Astyanax mexicanus: one gene and its partner. The protein of the gene in region 1 interacts with the protein of each later gene in a biochemical or structural test. Links are inferred from orthologs where the notes say so. Each region holds a gene or a part of one and is shown in the gene's direction. Other genes may lie near its edges.

Region 1 (6,968 bases):
GCTGCCTGTGGCATCTGGCTATACATTACATACAATATTGTAAACAGAGGTCATGTTAAAAGCCACTGCACTATTCCATTAAAGAGTAAGGCAAACTAACTCAATGCACCTTATGTAACCTCCAGGTTGGTGACTTTATTGATGATGTGTGAGCGCCTGGGCACGCACTCTAAATCAAACTTGCTCTCGTAGATGGTTGGGCACAGCTTCCACTTGTTATTTCGGTATATTCCCAGGTAAGTGTAGACGTCTGGCTTGTAAGAGAGTGAGCACTTGACCCCAGCAGCCCTTATGGCCGCGTCCAGCTGCATGACCTGCTCCTCGTCTGCAAAGTTGTTGTTGTAGGCGCAAATGACATGCTTGGCTTCAGAGTTCGCATCTCGTGGGCTCACTTTGGCTGAGGAGATTTTCCCATCTAGCACGGCTTTGGCTATGCATTCCCAGGCACGGTCCACCTTGAAGCCGGTGTCCATGTGTATGAGCCATTTGCCTGTGAGCACATTGTGGTTCAATGCCAGCTCCTTTATGGTCTGGAAAGTGACTTGGCGCCCACTGGCCAGGAGCTTTTCCCAGCTTTCTTGAAGACCAGTCACGTCCGGGTACTCCGGACCATGATCTGGACCCAACACTGAGATCCAGCCCACAGGGCCCAAACCACCTTCTTCGTCTCCAAAACGGCTCACCTGGGAGGGCCTGTTAGACTCCAGCCAGCTGTAGAATTCGGCTCTAGGCGTTTTGCGGGCATCAAATATGATCCACGGGTCCATGTCTGCGGCCAAGGCCTCGGCAGCGTAGTCTTCTGCCGAAAGAGGCTCGGCATGTTCCTCCTCTTCCTCCATCCTTCTTCTGGACCTCGGGGTTGAGTGTTGGTACACGGGTAGCGTACGTCCTATATGCTAGTGTAAGGCACTCTTTTTCTGTTAGAGAGACCAAAAAAAAAAGTTATGAGTTAACCTGTATGATTATAAGGCAGTTTCACAGTTCTAGCTTCTCTATAAAAGTTGTCAGCAGAGGGAAGGATGAAGTGCTTTAAAATTTTCCGGAAAAAAAAAAAACGCTGCACTGACTTTGGAATTGATATAACAGAGTAGACCAACACCAGCAGACATGACTCTCCAACCCATCACTGACCATCAGTAAATTTTAAAACGCTTAAAATAGATCACTCGGTGTGTAATAAGTCTATATAATATGAGTTTCACATTTTGAACTGAATTGCTGAAATAAAGTATCTTTTTAATGAAAATATTCTATGTGAACCAGGTGACTCTCTCATGAAAACACAGAGAAAATACCAGTGTTCAAATATGTAATCAAAGGTAAATGTGCCACTTCCACTTCATAATCTAAAGTGTAAAACATATTTTGGTTTGCTTACCAAATAATCCTGCATTTGTTCCTGTATAGCTTTAATGTATTTGATATTAAATTTACTACGTAAAAATAAATTATAAAAAGAAAGAAAACACATAGAATGAGAAGCGGTGTGTCCAAACTTTTGATAGGTACTGTCAAAGTGATTTATTTTACACATAAATCGGTAATAGATTAATTTAAGCAAATAATAAATCTGCGGAGCCAGTTGGGAGTTGAAAGAGCCGGCCCTTTTTTAGTGAGCCGAGCCAAAAGAACCGACTCAGAAAAATGCCACATGTGACATGTGACAATCACTACTGCGCATGCGCTGAAAATTTTTTGTGCCTTTTTTACGTTTTCATGTGTTTTTCGAGATAAATCTGCTCATACAGTGTGTTTTACAGTCTAGACTTACTGTTATTGGTTGTTTGAGTCTCACACGAGTTTTAATGGCTATTCAAATACATAAATACACCGTATATACCCTTATAATTGCTATACTGTGTACTATACAGGCTAGTTAGCCTATATCCACATATCTTCTACCTAACCTACCAAACTTCACTTACATTAAATCATGTTTTCAACCAATCTGAATAAACTACTAGTCAATCAGATTTACCTATGAATACACATTATACACTGGGAGCACGTTTTGACAGGGTAGCAACATTGGACCCAACACCAGCAGTTATATTTGCAGATCTGCAGACCCACACACAGCTTAATGAACACTGCACAGACAGGTTACAAACTCATTCCTTCACCCCACAGCTCTACAGAAGACTCTCCCCACACACAGCTCACTCTTTAGCCTCCTCACTGACTTTAATCAGCAAACTTTACCCCAAACACAGCACAGCAGCAGCTGCAACTAGCCCCGACCACCAGAGAGGAGAAATAAAGCAGAAAACTCACAGAATTCCTCACTATTGCGCATTATACAGCGCTCACACTGCAATACAGCCCGCACACGCTCACCTGCGGCATCAAACACGCCTTTAAAACCACTAAAACAGCCGCTAAACCCACAGCTAGCCGAGCTAATGCGTTGTTTTTGAATTGTCTGGCTCTGTCCCAATTTGTGCGCCCGTGCTGTCTCCCCTCGCACACTAGAAAGGCCACGTCTACTTCGAACACTCTTTAGCTAACCTAGCTAGTGTGCTCGTTTCCCTACTTCCCCCACAGGTCGCTTAACAACTGGAAAATATCTAAACGACGGCGTTTTAGGGCCACTCTTTAAAAAAACAGTTCGTTCGAGAATAAAGTCGCAATATTACGAGGCTAAAGCCTTAACATTACAAGATTAAAGCTGTAAAGAAAATATCCAAATGTTCGCAGTAAATCAAGAGGAAATCTTCTCAATGTAAGAGATTTAAAAAAAATTAACAAATAGATAAAAAGTAAATAATAATGATATAGAAAATAATAAAATTAAATTAAGACCAATAACAAATGAATTAATAAAAACATAGAAATTATAAAGAGTTAAAACAGTCACATGCGTTCTGAAGGTAATTTGAAACTAAGAAGAGTTTCAAATTTCAAATGTGAAGAGGAGGTTGGATATAATACTATTAGGTAATAATAATAATAATAATAATAATAATAATAATAATAATAATAATAATAATAATAATAATAATAATAATAATTAGTATAGTATTAGTATAAAATCTATTTACTCATTCGTCTTCTTTTCCCTGATGGTCAGGGTTGTGGTGGGTCCAGAAACTACCCAATTCACCTTTTAACTTTACCTACATGTGCAGAAACCATTGAAATACTAAGTCATGTTCATGTACGATCTTGTTGTTTTAAGATATTATGTCATTATTTTATTATATTATATATTAAGTTGTTATTTTGAGATACATCATTATTTTGAGATACTAAGTCGTTTATATGAATGCTTTTGTTGATTTAGGATCTCACAATAACGACTTAGTACCTCATAATCATAAGATTGCAATTTACTTAATAATAAGTTTTTTTTTAAGTGGAGGAAATTAGATTTCACAAAAAAATGACAATCCTTTGAAAAAATCATTTTTTCTTTCTTTTTTTTGCTATGCTATTGCTATTTGTAATTCTATTTCAGTAGTTCAATAATAACCTGTTCCCGGGTCATTATTTAAAAATACTTGCTAATATTTGGCATAACGGCAGTCCTTTAACTTAAATAATAATGATAAATTTGAAATATATGATGTGGAAATATAAAGACAAACTGTTTTTTTAGAGATTAAGATTGAGATAGGGCCTACTGAATCAAGATTTGCATCCTGCTGCCAGAAACTGAGAAGGCCAGAAAGGGCATTTACCTGACAGGAATGTATTTCCATATTTAAACACCGAATAAAAACAGGTTTAAGTTTAAAGTTAAGGCGAAATTTCACTATTATTTTTATTTTATTTTGTTTTATAGCATGCTGAGTTTGTTATGGGCTTGATTTGAACACACTTGTAAATTGGAGCGCAGCCGGAGATCAAGCTGCGACCCTGCGAGACCCGGCTGGACTGAAGGAGGAGGAGGTGGAGACGGAGCCGCCGCTGCTGCTGAACCAAAAACACTGAGTTTATCATTAAAACCGAGCCTAAACCCGGCCTGGAGCCGATCCGGCAGCGGGACAAAGGAGTACAGACACAGAGCACACGGGCTAAAGCGGGAGGAGTCCTGTAAAACACAGCATGCCGAGCAAAAAGAAGAAATATAACGCCAGATTCCCCCCGGTGAGATTACTCCCATTCACCTGATAATGCTAATGCTAAGCTCAATGATTCTCTATGTACATGCTAACGTTAGCTTAGCACAGTTTAGCCTAGCCTAACTTAGCGGAGCTCCTGTTATCTTAACGCCCACTCTGAATGAGAGGAGTAAAACCTGTGGCTGGGTTTAACTCTGTTACCTGGTCTAGACTCGAGTCTAAGTTTAATTCTGAGTTTAAAACAATACCCAGTGTAATACCGAGAGCTGGAGAAGCCCATAGACTCAATGTAGAGCGGTTCAGCGGGTCCGGCTAATCCTACTGTACAGCTGCTCGCTGGAGAACTGAGAGTTCGGTTAGCTTAGCTTAGCTTAGCCTAGCTTAGCCTAGCTAACAGCTGCAGTCCTCAGCATTATTCAGAGGCCGTGTAGCTTTATAATTAAACAATTTACACTTTATTTTATGCAGTATTCTAAAATCTGTGGTTCAAATTGGTCAATACTAATGTAGCCATGATCCTGGATAATCTTTGTGTGTAGCCAGCCAGCTAGCTAACGCTAGTAAAGGTTTTTGCTAAGTAGCTAACATAAGCTAGCTAACATAACTTAGTTCCCTCAGTTTGTGTTGGAAAGTGAAAACTCAGCTAACCAGCTACTGTACAGACAGAACACAGATGTTTTACTTACCTATAAACACAGATACATTTAACTGACACTAACAGATATTTGGCATAAAATTGACAGACATTTGACTTAAAACCAGCAATTGTTTTTTGACATAAAATCAACAGATGTTTATGGTAAAGTTAACAGAGATATTTCGCATAAAACCAACAGGCGTTTAAGGTAACGTTTTATGTAACAAATGATATTTGACATAACATCAACAGATGTTTATAGTAAAATTAACAGAGTTATTCCACAAACTCAACAGATGTTTATGGTAAAATGAACAGAGATATTTGACACAACCAAAAATGTTTAATGAAAAATTAATAGAGAAATTTAAAATAAAATGAGCAGATATTTGATGTTTAGGTGAGAGATATTTGATGTAAAATATAGATAAGTGACACCAATATATATAACATAAAGATATAACAAATATTTGTTATAAAATTATCAGATGTTTACCATAAAATTAATAAAGATATTTGGCATAAAGCGAACAAATATTTAGTGAAAATTCAACAGAGATATTTTACATAAAATAAAAATTATTTAACAAAAAATCAGAAAAGATTTTTGGTATAAAATTTAAAGTGATTTTAAAATGAATACATTTAACATAATATTAACAGCTCTCTGGCTCTGTACATATCAGCAGGCTACTCAGCTGCTCTTATGCTGCTAACCAACTTTAGATATCAACAATATTTACATACCATTTGTATTTGTGGCATTTTTCTGCTCCATTTACTACAGAGGCCTCATTCTTCTCCACAAAGAGTGGTGTACCTTCAGTTTTTTATTCCAGTGAAGCAGAAGCACATGTGATTAGTTGTTTGAAGACTGACCAACTGATTAAACAAGAGGAACCAAGTGTGCTGCTGCTGTTTTTTTTCCATAAAAAAGGAAATCTGCAACCACAGCAGCCCTGTGTAGATAAGATTGTACATCTCTAATTTATTGATGTAATCACATTCTTTTATGAATGCTCTTAATCTAGTAGAAAATCTTTTTTGGACAGTATGCATTTAAGTACAATAGTTGCATGTCTCTCAGAGACTCAGGTGGTAGATTAGTAGTATAAGTATAAGTACTACAATAAAGTAGTATAATAAAGGAGCACGTTTGTGTTCTTTATTTTATTTAAAATACAACAAGATGTGGCTGGTAAAGGTTTTGTGTTTCAAGCACAGGAAAATATCTAAGTCTGATAGAATGTAAAGCACCAATTTGAAGTATTTCCACACTGTAAATGTTTCCACACTAAAAAAAATGACAGAAATGCATAACTAGTATTTAATATTCACTGTTACATTTTAGCTTTCAGTGTTAAGTATGTTTTTGTGTCCTGTAGTGTATTCTGTACAGTATACACTGAACCCAGCTGTACTGTATGTGGCTATTCAGTAACTACTGTTATGTAAATTACATTTTTTGTTCCCAAAATATCTGTCTAGCTTTTTCACGCTCACTATGTGTGTTTGTATTACTTTCAGGCAAGAATTAAGAAGATTATGCAGACAGATGAAGAAATAGGAAAAGTCGCTGCTGCCGTTCCCGTTATTATCTGTATCCTTTGAAAGTTCACATATTTCTGTCTTCTGTTGTACAGCAGTGTTTTAGAAATGTGTCAGTATGAGAGTGTTTGAGGTTCTTATGCAAATTGCCCTTTAAATATTGCTAATTCTTTTACTGCCCTAAATATTTCTGTAGAGTTAGATGTCCAGTGCAAAGATGGACATGCACATTTCTAATCAGATGCTGTCAGCCATAATCATAACCATACACTGAACTATCCACTGTAGGTGGTAATGCCTTCTATGTTGTATTCCTGGTTAATACTTGACTCTGTGGATTAAGGAATTTTAAATGCCCACACACTCACTCACTAGATAACACCTTACAATATGTGGGTGTTCCCAAGCTGTCCCTTGAGGTAACACTTGGATCACATGATCCATGCATTCCACTGCATCGCATAACCTGAGATTAGTTGATTTAATAGGGTTTTTTTAAGTGAATAATCACTTTCAAGATATTTTGTTATTTTGGCGTTGATTAATAACCCTCTCTACTCTGTAGTTGATGTTCTTGGTTTGGTTGGTTCTTTAACCCCTGTTCGAGCGCGGGCACTTGAGCTGTTTCTGGAGTCTCTTCTGACGAAAGCCTGTCATGTTACCCAGTCACGGAACGCCAAAACTATGACAACATCGCATTTGTGAGTAATTTTAACTTA
Region 2 (7,827 bases), on another chromosome or scaffold:
ACATGTGCACCACTGATTGATTAAAACCCTGGACAATAGTGTCCATTGCAACCATACTTAAATACTATCTTCTAAGTATGCATTGTGAATATATAGTTGAGTATACTCAACTTAGTGTGCAAATGAGACGCAACCACACTGATCTCTAGTGGATTTCTAGAGGATGCCACACTTCTGCCAGTTAGTAGAGATGGCACAATGAGGTTGACTTAAGTTTTTTCAAACTTTTTTTTTTTTATAATATTTGACTCAAAAAGAGCTGTACCAAAACACTAAACAGGATGTTTGTGGAAGTGGACCTTTTCCATTTTCTTGTAATATTTGTGATTGGAAAAGTCCCCTAATGGTTTCTGGCCAGATAAGAGAGTTCAGTCATGAGACTGCATGTGCGTGCAGATACACACCTGGGTCACACACCCTTGTGTGTGGAACATCTGCACACTCGAATCGCAATATCCTAGCAATGCTGCATATTACATAAGCACAGCTGACTGCTGGCTGGAGCAGCTACGACTTACTTTCATTTACAGAGGATTCTCTGGGTTTATCTTCAGACTTGGCTTGTGGATTTGAGTTAACTTACAGATTTATGACACATTTCCTCATAAGGGAGAAGTGCTTCACTTGTGCATTTTAATAGCCCTGGTAGAAAGTACCCTTTTGAGCAGCCTTTTATGAACACAAGATGAGAAACGGTTGGGCATGGTGGCATACAGGTTCTGTTTGGCATCCTGGCAAGAGGCCTCCATACTCTAACCCCACTGTTGCTGAATCCCAAATGGATTGGATCCCAATGGATTGCTTGAGGGGGTTTTGTTGAGGGCGATTGTGTCTTACTGTGTCAACTGGGAATAATGTCTTGAGTGCATCATAGACGCATGACTTGCAGTCAACAATCTCTCACCAGAAGGTACACTATTCAAAAGTAGCATAGGGCGGTGGGGGTAGCACTCTTATGGCAAGAACCAATGTATATTCAGACCATGCCTGTAATCATTTACATATCTGCCTGAGAATCAACTGTATGCCGAGTTTTGCGAAATTCCAGGGGCATGTTAATACAGGCGTTAGTATAGTACTAATGGTCTCTGTTTTCTTTTCCAGCATAAGCCTAATTGAACCAGGACCAGTCATCACAGATTTTGAGCATAAAGTGTACGAGGAGGGCATGAAGAGCGACATGTCTAAAGTGGACTCAGTGACTGCAGACATGTTTCTCAATATCTACATGAGGCACTGGACCCAGATATTCGAAAGCCTGGGCCAGACGCCGGAGGTTATTGCAGAGGTACACAGATATAGTACAGGGCTGTAATAATGGACAATATTCAGGTTCATGGTTAAAAAGGCGAATGTATCATGATTAGTAGCTGAAAATTGGAGTTGTTAATGTTTCCATTTTGGGTTTATTAGGGCATAGAACATATTCAACATACAGTCACTGTCATGCAATGTTTGTAGAACTAGAGAAGAAATGGCATTCTTAACTTTCAGTGGAAAAAATATTTACTCTTATGTCATTCTGGAGCATTTCTATTGGTCTATTCATCCTAAAATTTCTATACAATGCAAATAACAGTGACCAGATTCAAGTAACACTATTTGGACAAAAGTATTTGGACACCTGTTCATTCATTATTTACTCTGCAAGATGGTATTAAAAATAGTTTTTTGTGCTTTTGTTGGAGTAACTGTCTCTACTGTCAAGGAAAGGATTTCTTCTAGATGTTGGAGCATTGCTGTGAGGATCAGATTGCAAATCCTTGGAATAAAGGAATTTGACTGATAGAGCACCATCATTCTAGAGAACACAGTTCCACTGCTTGCCAATTTAATGCTATAAAGCATGCTCCTATATAGATTGTGCCTGGTCATTAGGCATGGTGGCAATAGATCTATGTTTGTTCAGCTGCTCCAGATTGAGACCATTGGACCACTGATAAGCATTACAACCACAGTGATAATAAGTGTACAGGATTAGTACGGTAGTATCATATGCTTAGCTACAGGACGTCACACTTATTAAAAGAAAAGCTTAACTTATTGCTTGAACAACAGCGTTTTAAACACAACTTAAAAAGTATGCAGTGTTGAGGAGCTCCATCAAACTTATTTCCACCAGGTTCCACAGGAGAGGAGCTGCCTCTGTGTTTAAAGGAACTACATTTAAAACATTTATCCAAACACAAATACAGTGGAGGTGGAAGAGGGGTTTAATAAATCAGATGGAAAAGAAGCAAATTAATATTATCTACAGTCATTTGTTTTATTGGGAAATTTGACAAAGATTTGTTGCGATATTGCCTGGAAAAAAACACATAAGTAAGTGGAGAATGGATATGTCAGCTAAAGTGTCTGCTAAACTAGTGGATATCCAACTGTCTAATCAAAAAATCATATGCTTCCTTCAACAGCATACACTCAAAATCATCACAATGGACAACCCACCATTCCGTCATCAGACCAACACCCTGTACACTCCAGTGACCACCCTTAAATACGCTGACCCCAACGGTGACCTGCCCATCGATACCTTCTATAAGGTGGTGTTCGAGCATGACAAGGTCTTCAGCGCCAGCCTGAACTTCCTCAAGCTGCTGCGCTGGAGGAGTCGCAAGAGCTTCAGCAGTCTGGAAAAGGACAAGTCTTAACGGCTGTGCCAGAACCCCACAGAGACCACCTGCCCGTCCCTTATAAACCCCTTTCCTCTTTTAGCTATAGCACGCAGATTATTTTGAATCTGATAATCTGATTATGACCATTATTATGCTGAATGTATTTTTACCTGGTCTGTGTGCTACCTCGATAAAGGCTTATATAACACCTGAGCGTCTGGAACTGTCATTCTCTTATATGGAAGATATAACCGGAAGGCTTAATACTGGATCAGTATCTGATCTACAGTGTACAGCTGCAGACATATGCTCCAATAGACCACCTCACAAATTGTAAGCCTTTTAAAGTATTCACGGACATTACCTAAACGACAAAACGATTTCCTCCAGAATCTGGATCTGGATCCTAATCCTAATCCAGGAATCCATCCCTAGGTGCTTTGCTGTGTGTGTGGAGGACAGTTAACAATATGCTACCTTTAAAGGACCAATAAGGATTATATTTTCGGTAGAAAAATATGAGAAATGTGCTACCTTTAAAGGACTAATAAAGATTATGTTTTCTGTTGTAAATTGATCAGGATGTATCTTCATTTTTTTTTTCTAAGAAAGTAAAAAAAAAAAAAAAAAAACATGTTAGCACATGATTTGCTTATCATAGCTAGGTACTTTATCAAAACCACTAGCATAGTAATGTCAGGCATTTAAAGTAATTTCCACAGCTGGGTTATGCTACAACATGCTAACATAAACTGCTAACAGGGTTGCCAGGTCCAACAAAATATCCAGTCCAAAGTCAATCTAAAACCTGCCCTTTAGAAGCTTAAACTAGTCCAAAATATGACTGTCATACATTTGAAACAAGTGGCAAAACAACTGAGTGTTCGACTTATTTTGTATATAGGAATTTTATTATTAGTATCGCTATTTACCTTATATTGTAACATTAGTGTTTTACTATTTCTTTCATCACAGTTTTATATCGAAGTTAATTTTCAAAACAATTTAAATAATTAGCACAAAAAAAAAGACTTTTACTTACTAATTTCTTTAAAATCAGTGCCCTGGCTGTTATTTCAACATTAGCTCACCAACCAGTCAGCTCACAGCAGCAGTTATGCTGGCGCCTGGTGAGGAAAAATGGAAACATACAGGCAAGTTTTCTTTACTTTTTTAGGGGAAATTCCTTATTTTACCTTTTACAATTAAAGTAATATGTGGTAAGGTGTTTATAAATTGTTCATCTTTTGATTTCTTAGCCATTTAGCTCTATTCAAGCTCCCTCTAGCGTTCACTAGTCGTTTACTGATAAACCGGGGAACGGATCTCCACACACACACACACACACACACACACACACACACACACACACACACCTATTTACTGTTTCTTTATTTTTCAAAAGTTGTATCCACAGTAATACAAACTCCTGTGTTCATTTAAGTACTGTTTTAATAAAAAACGAAATTATTTTTGTTCCTACTAAAAGGAATTCTTCCTGAAGTTTATTTTGAAAGTTTTATGTTTTAACATAAGATGCCAAGTATTATCGCAATTTTTTTTGTGATGTAATTTTAGGGTCATATCACTTACTAATCACCCACATAATACCTACTAATAATTAATTATGAAATACATAGACATTAGAAATTATTTAATAACTGTAAACATGAACACATATTTATACATGCATGCATATAGCTGGAACATAAGTCACACCCGGATGTGATCAAAATAACTTAATGTCACTTTGAACCATAGACTGTATATTGTTTTTTGTGCACAACATACAGAAAAGGGAAAAGGATTCATATAAAATATAAAATTGAAAAGCTTCAAAATATCTGTGGATCTATGACATTTTTCATTTTTAAATGTGTGTACATTTGAATGTACACAAATAAATTTCTCCTCAGAAATATACAATATATCTTGGACTTTGAGGGGAAGTTCCTTACCCAACCTCGTCTTCAAGTATAAAAAGGATCAAATCAAAAAGAGCCAAAAAAAATACACAATGTATATCTATGCTCCGAACACGACTTCAAAGCAGCTGACACACTACGTAGTGCACTAGCCCTGACATATCGCTCGGATTGGAACACGCCCACTCGACCCCTCTTCTTCTCTCCGCGCCGGTGGTACGCCGGGGCGCTAGGGGGCGAGCGCGTGGAGGTGAGCGGGGAAGAAGTGAGAAAGCCCGGTGGTCGGATATCCTTTAGCCTTCATTGTGGGACTGAGTCCGGGAGCTGGCTGACCGCGGGGGGGATTAAAACCATGGCTGTTTTGAGTTAAAGGCTCGGGAGGCACTGTGTTTTGGAGCTGGGCTGAGCTGAGGGATGGCGGCGGTTGGGCTGAGCGGGTGCTGCGGCGCTGCTGCGGCTCACTGAGCCTCCAGCCGAGCTCACTTCCAACCGGGCTCAGACACACAGCCCGAGACAAAAGCGGGGGAGCAGGACTCACAGCAGTCTCAGCCCTCCCCCAGTGAACCGAAAACCCTCATTATTAAACTCTAAAACACACGACTGGGCTCTTACACTGTGTGTTTGTAGTAGTAGTAAGTAGATACATAGTTTTTACACCTTGTTTACTACCTAACTTAGCATTAGCTGCTGTCTCCACACGGACTCAGGCTTTGCTAAAGCTAGTGGAGCTTCTGGTCGAGCCGGCTGGCTCACTTCATTCACTACTCACACCTTCATTTAGCCTCCGGTACCTGTACTGTCTGCTCCAGCAGCTCCAGGTAAAGCCCAGAGCCCCGTTGTGCCCTCGGGAGTGCACACAGGAGTGCACAAGAGCACAGCAGGTCTCCTCCTTTCCTCCCTCACTCTGCATCCTTGGCTTCAGCTCCAAGTAAGTCTGTCACGATAGCCTACTTTTCTGGCTGATGTAGCTTTGCAGTACCAGTCACAATTTGGACACACCTTCTCATTCAATGTTTTTTTGTTATTTTTTCAATAATATATAATTTTGTGCGTTATAAATTAATACACAAAAGGCACAAAAACAATTAAGGGACACATTACGTAGTAAACAGTTAAAAAAAGTGTTTGTCCTTCACAACATCCCGTGATCTAAACCTGATTAACTGAGGTGATCTGGGATGAGCTGGAGCTTCACAGCATGAAGGAAAAGCAGCAAATATTGTTCAGCACCTCCAGGAACTCCTTCAAGATGCTGAGAAAACTCTTTCAGCATTAAATTTGCAATGTAAAAAAAAAAAAATTAAGGAAAACATTGAATGAGAGAGGTTTGTCCAAACTTTTAAATGATTCTGTATTGTCCCAGTAGTAATTGCAGAAAACTGTATTATCGTTGTCCTTTGAAACTGTTTTATGCCACTGATATAACTAGGGTTAGCTACAGAAAATTGCCATGTGATATATCAAGTATTGGGATATAGTTGTTAACGTGGGCATCGTGTCGTGATATTCTCGAATTGTGAGATGCCCTGTGATTCCTACCCCTAGTATTCACACACTGCAATTGGAATATTGAAATATTTGTATATCCTAAATATATCAAACAAGTAAAAGATATGGCCAAATAAATATCTATGTCTAATAATTTATGTTGTGCATTATAGCCATATGATGGCCTCCTCGTCGGGAAATGATGATGACCTGACCATCCCGAGGGCAGCGATCAACAAGATGATCAAAGAGACACTGCCCAATGTGCGAGTGGCCAACGACGCCAGAGAGCTGGTGGTCAACTGCTGCACAGAGTTTATCCACCTCATCTCCTCTGAGGCCAACGAGATCTGCAACAAGTCTGAGAAGAAGACCATCTCTCCAGAACACGTCATCAATGGTGAGAGCTTCTGCATGTCTAATGTTTATTGCTGCTGTTGGACCAAGTCTGGACCAGTCAGAGCCAAGGTTCATGTTTTTGTCACGCTGTATACGGTACGTTTAATTTGGTTAGTTTTGGATTCTAACTGCATTTAGTTGGTTTAGTAAATTTAATAATTTATTAAAGAACTTTACTGCATCCTGTAATCGTTGCCTACGTTGGCTGTATTTCCCTTTACTTGACGCACATATTCATTGGTTTGAAGAATATTGTCAGTTCTGCAAGTTGCCTTTCCAGGTGTTGTGCTGAATTCTGCCTTCCTGCCAGAATCTGACTCCCTTTGAGTACAGGTGCGCGCCCCTGAGTGGAATCAGCAAAACCGATTTTCATCAGAACTTATTGCATTCATGTTTTTATTTGTGAATTCTCTTTTAAAAGTGTCTTTGTATCAAAATACAGCATACTGTAATAAAATATTAAAAAGATATATTTATTTTTTTTAACTTAAGGCCCATCCCAATCACTGCCCTTTGTTCCCCTGTTGGATGAAACCCACTCTAGCTGGTTTAGGTCAACAATAGCTTGGTATTGGTCCAGTAGAGATGGTGACAGATGGTGTGTAGTTGATGAGCCTGGTCTACAGAAGATGTGCCTGGAGGCTCTGAAGGTGGTGTAGCTCAACAATGGAGGGTGTAATTTTGTAACCCTCATCATCTTTAGGACACCACTGAACTGCTACTGCTGCCATGTGAAAGCTTGCTATCTCAGATGGCAACTGTACGTGTCCACTAGGACTTGACTCATCCTATCCAATTTCAATGGATAGAGTCGCGGCATGCTGTGGTGGGTTGCGTTGTGCTGAACGCAGCCTCGTCGTACGGTGAAAAAGTTCAGCAGGGCATACAAGGAGTACACACAGAACAGGCGCCTTTTTACTACAGAAGAGATGCTGAATAAGTATTGACAGAACTATAGATTACAATGAGGTTGATTAAAAAATGTAAAAGCTAAAACTTAAAAACTTATGATTGCCTGCTTCTGTTGCTTCCTTTGAATTAAAAACATCACGAACATGCCCACATAGCTAGCCAAGAGATCAGGCACAGCAGAATGTGTTGAAGAAAAGTGCTAGTGCACAAATAATGTAAGGATTCTTTTTTCCCCCCTTCATCTTCACTTAGAAGTCAATATAAATAGTTTTTATGAGCATTTCTGTTGGACAGTTCATGGTTTTTAAGGTTTTTCCACACCTGAAAGTCCAGCTCAAAGTATGTATGTATGTGTGTGTGTGTTACATTGAGGTACTTATATTTTGTTAATCTAGTTTTGATTTCACTCTGCAGTTTAGTAACACTTTGGTGCACTTTGCAACTTCCTGTTGTTTTCATCTACATGGGTTGTTTTCCTCTACTTGACA

The links.
Region 2: the proteins of drap1 (region 1) and dr1 form a complex in vitro, tested with the Homo sapiens proteins (2 studies listed by BioGRID). The link is inferred for Astyanax mexicanus from reciprocal best matches to the Homo sapiens genes DRAP1 and DR1.

What each region holds. Positions count from the first base shown.
Region 1 is NC_064432.1:18,622,971-18,629,938, reverse strand, and holds the start of drap1 (dr1-associated corepressor), read left to right. Parts: upstream 1-3,951; 5' UTR 3,952-4,047; coding exon 4,048-4,089; intron 4,090-6,228; coding exon 6,229-6,301; intron 6,302-6,856; coding exon 6,857-6,950; intron 6,951-6,968. Other genes in the region: c25h11orf68 (UPF0696 protein C11orf68 homolog), read right to left, coding at 111-839. UniProt on the Homo sapiens protein: The association of the DR1/DRAP1 heterodimer with TBP results in a functional repression of both activated and basal transcription of class II genes.
Region 2 is NC_064412.1:51,507,186-51,515,012, forward strand, and holds the start of dr1 (protein Dr1), read left to right. Parts: upstream 1-4,819; 5' UTR 4,820-5,468; intron 5,469-6,201; 5' UTR 6,202-6,205; coding exon 6,206-6,428; intron 6,429-7,827. Other genes in the region: zgc:109982 (retinol dehydrogenase 8), read left to right, coding at 1,105-1,288, 2,415-2,651. UniProt on the Homo sapiens protein: The association of the DR1/DRAP1 heterodimer with TBP results in a functional repression of both activated and basal transcription of class II genes.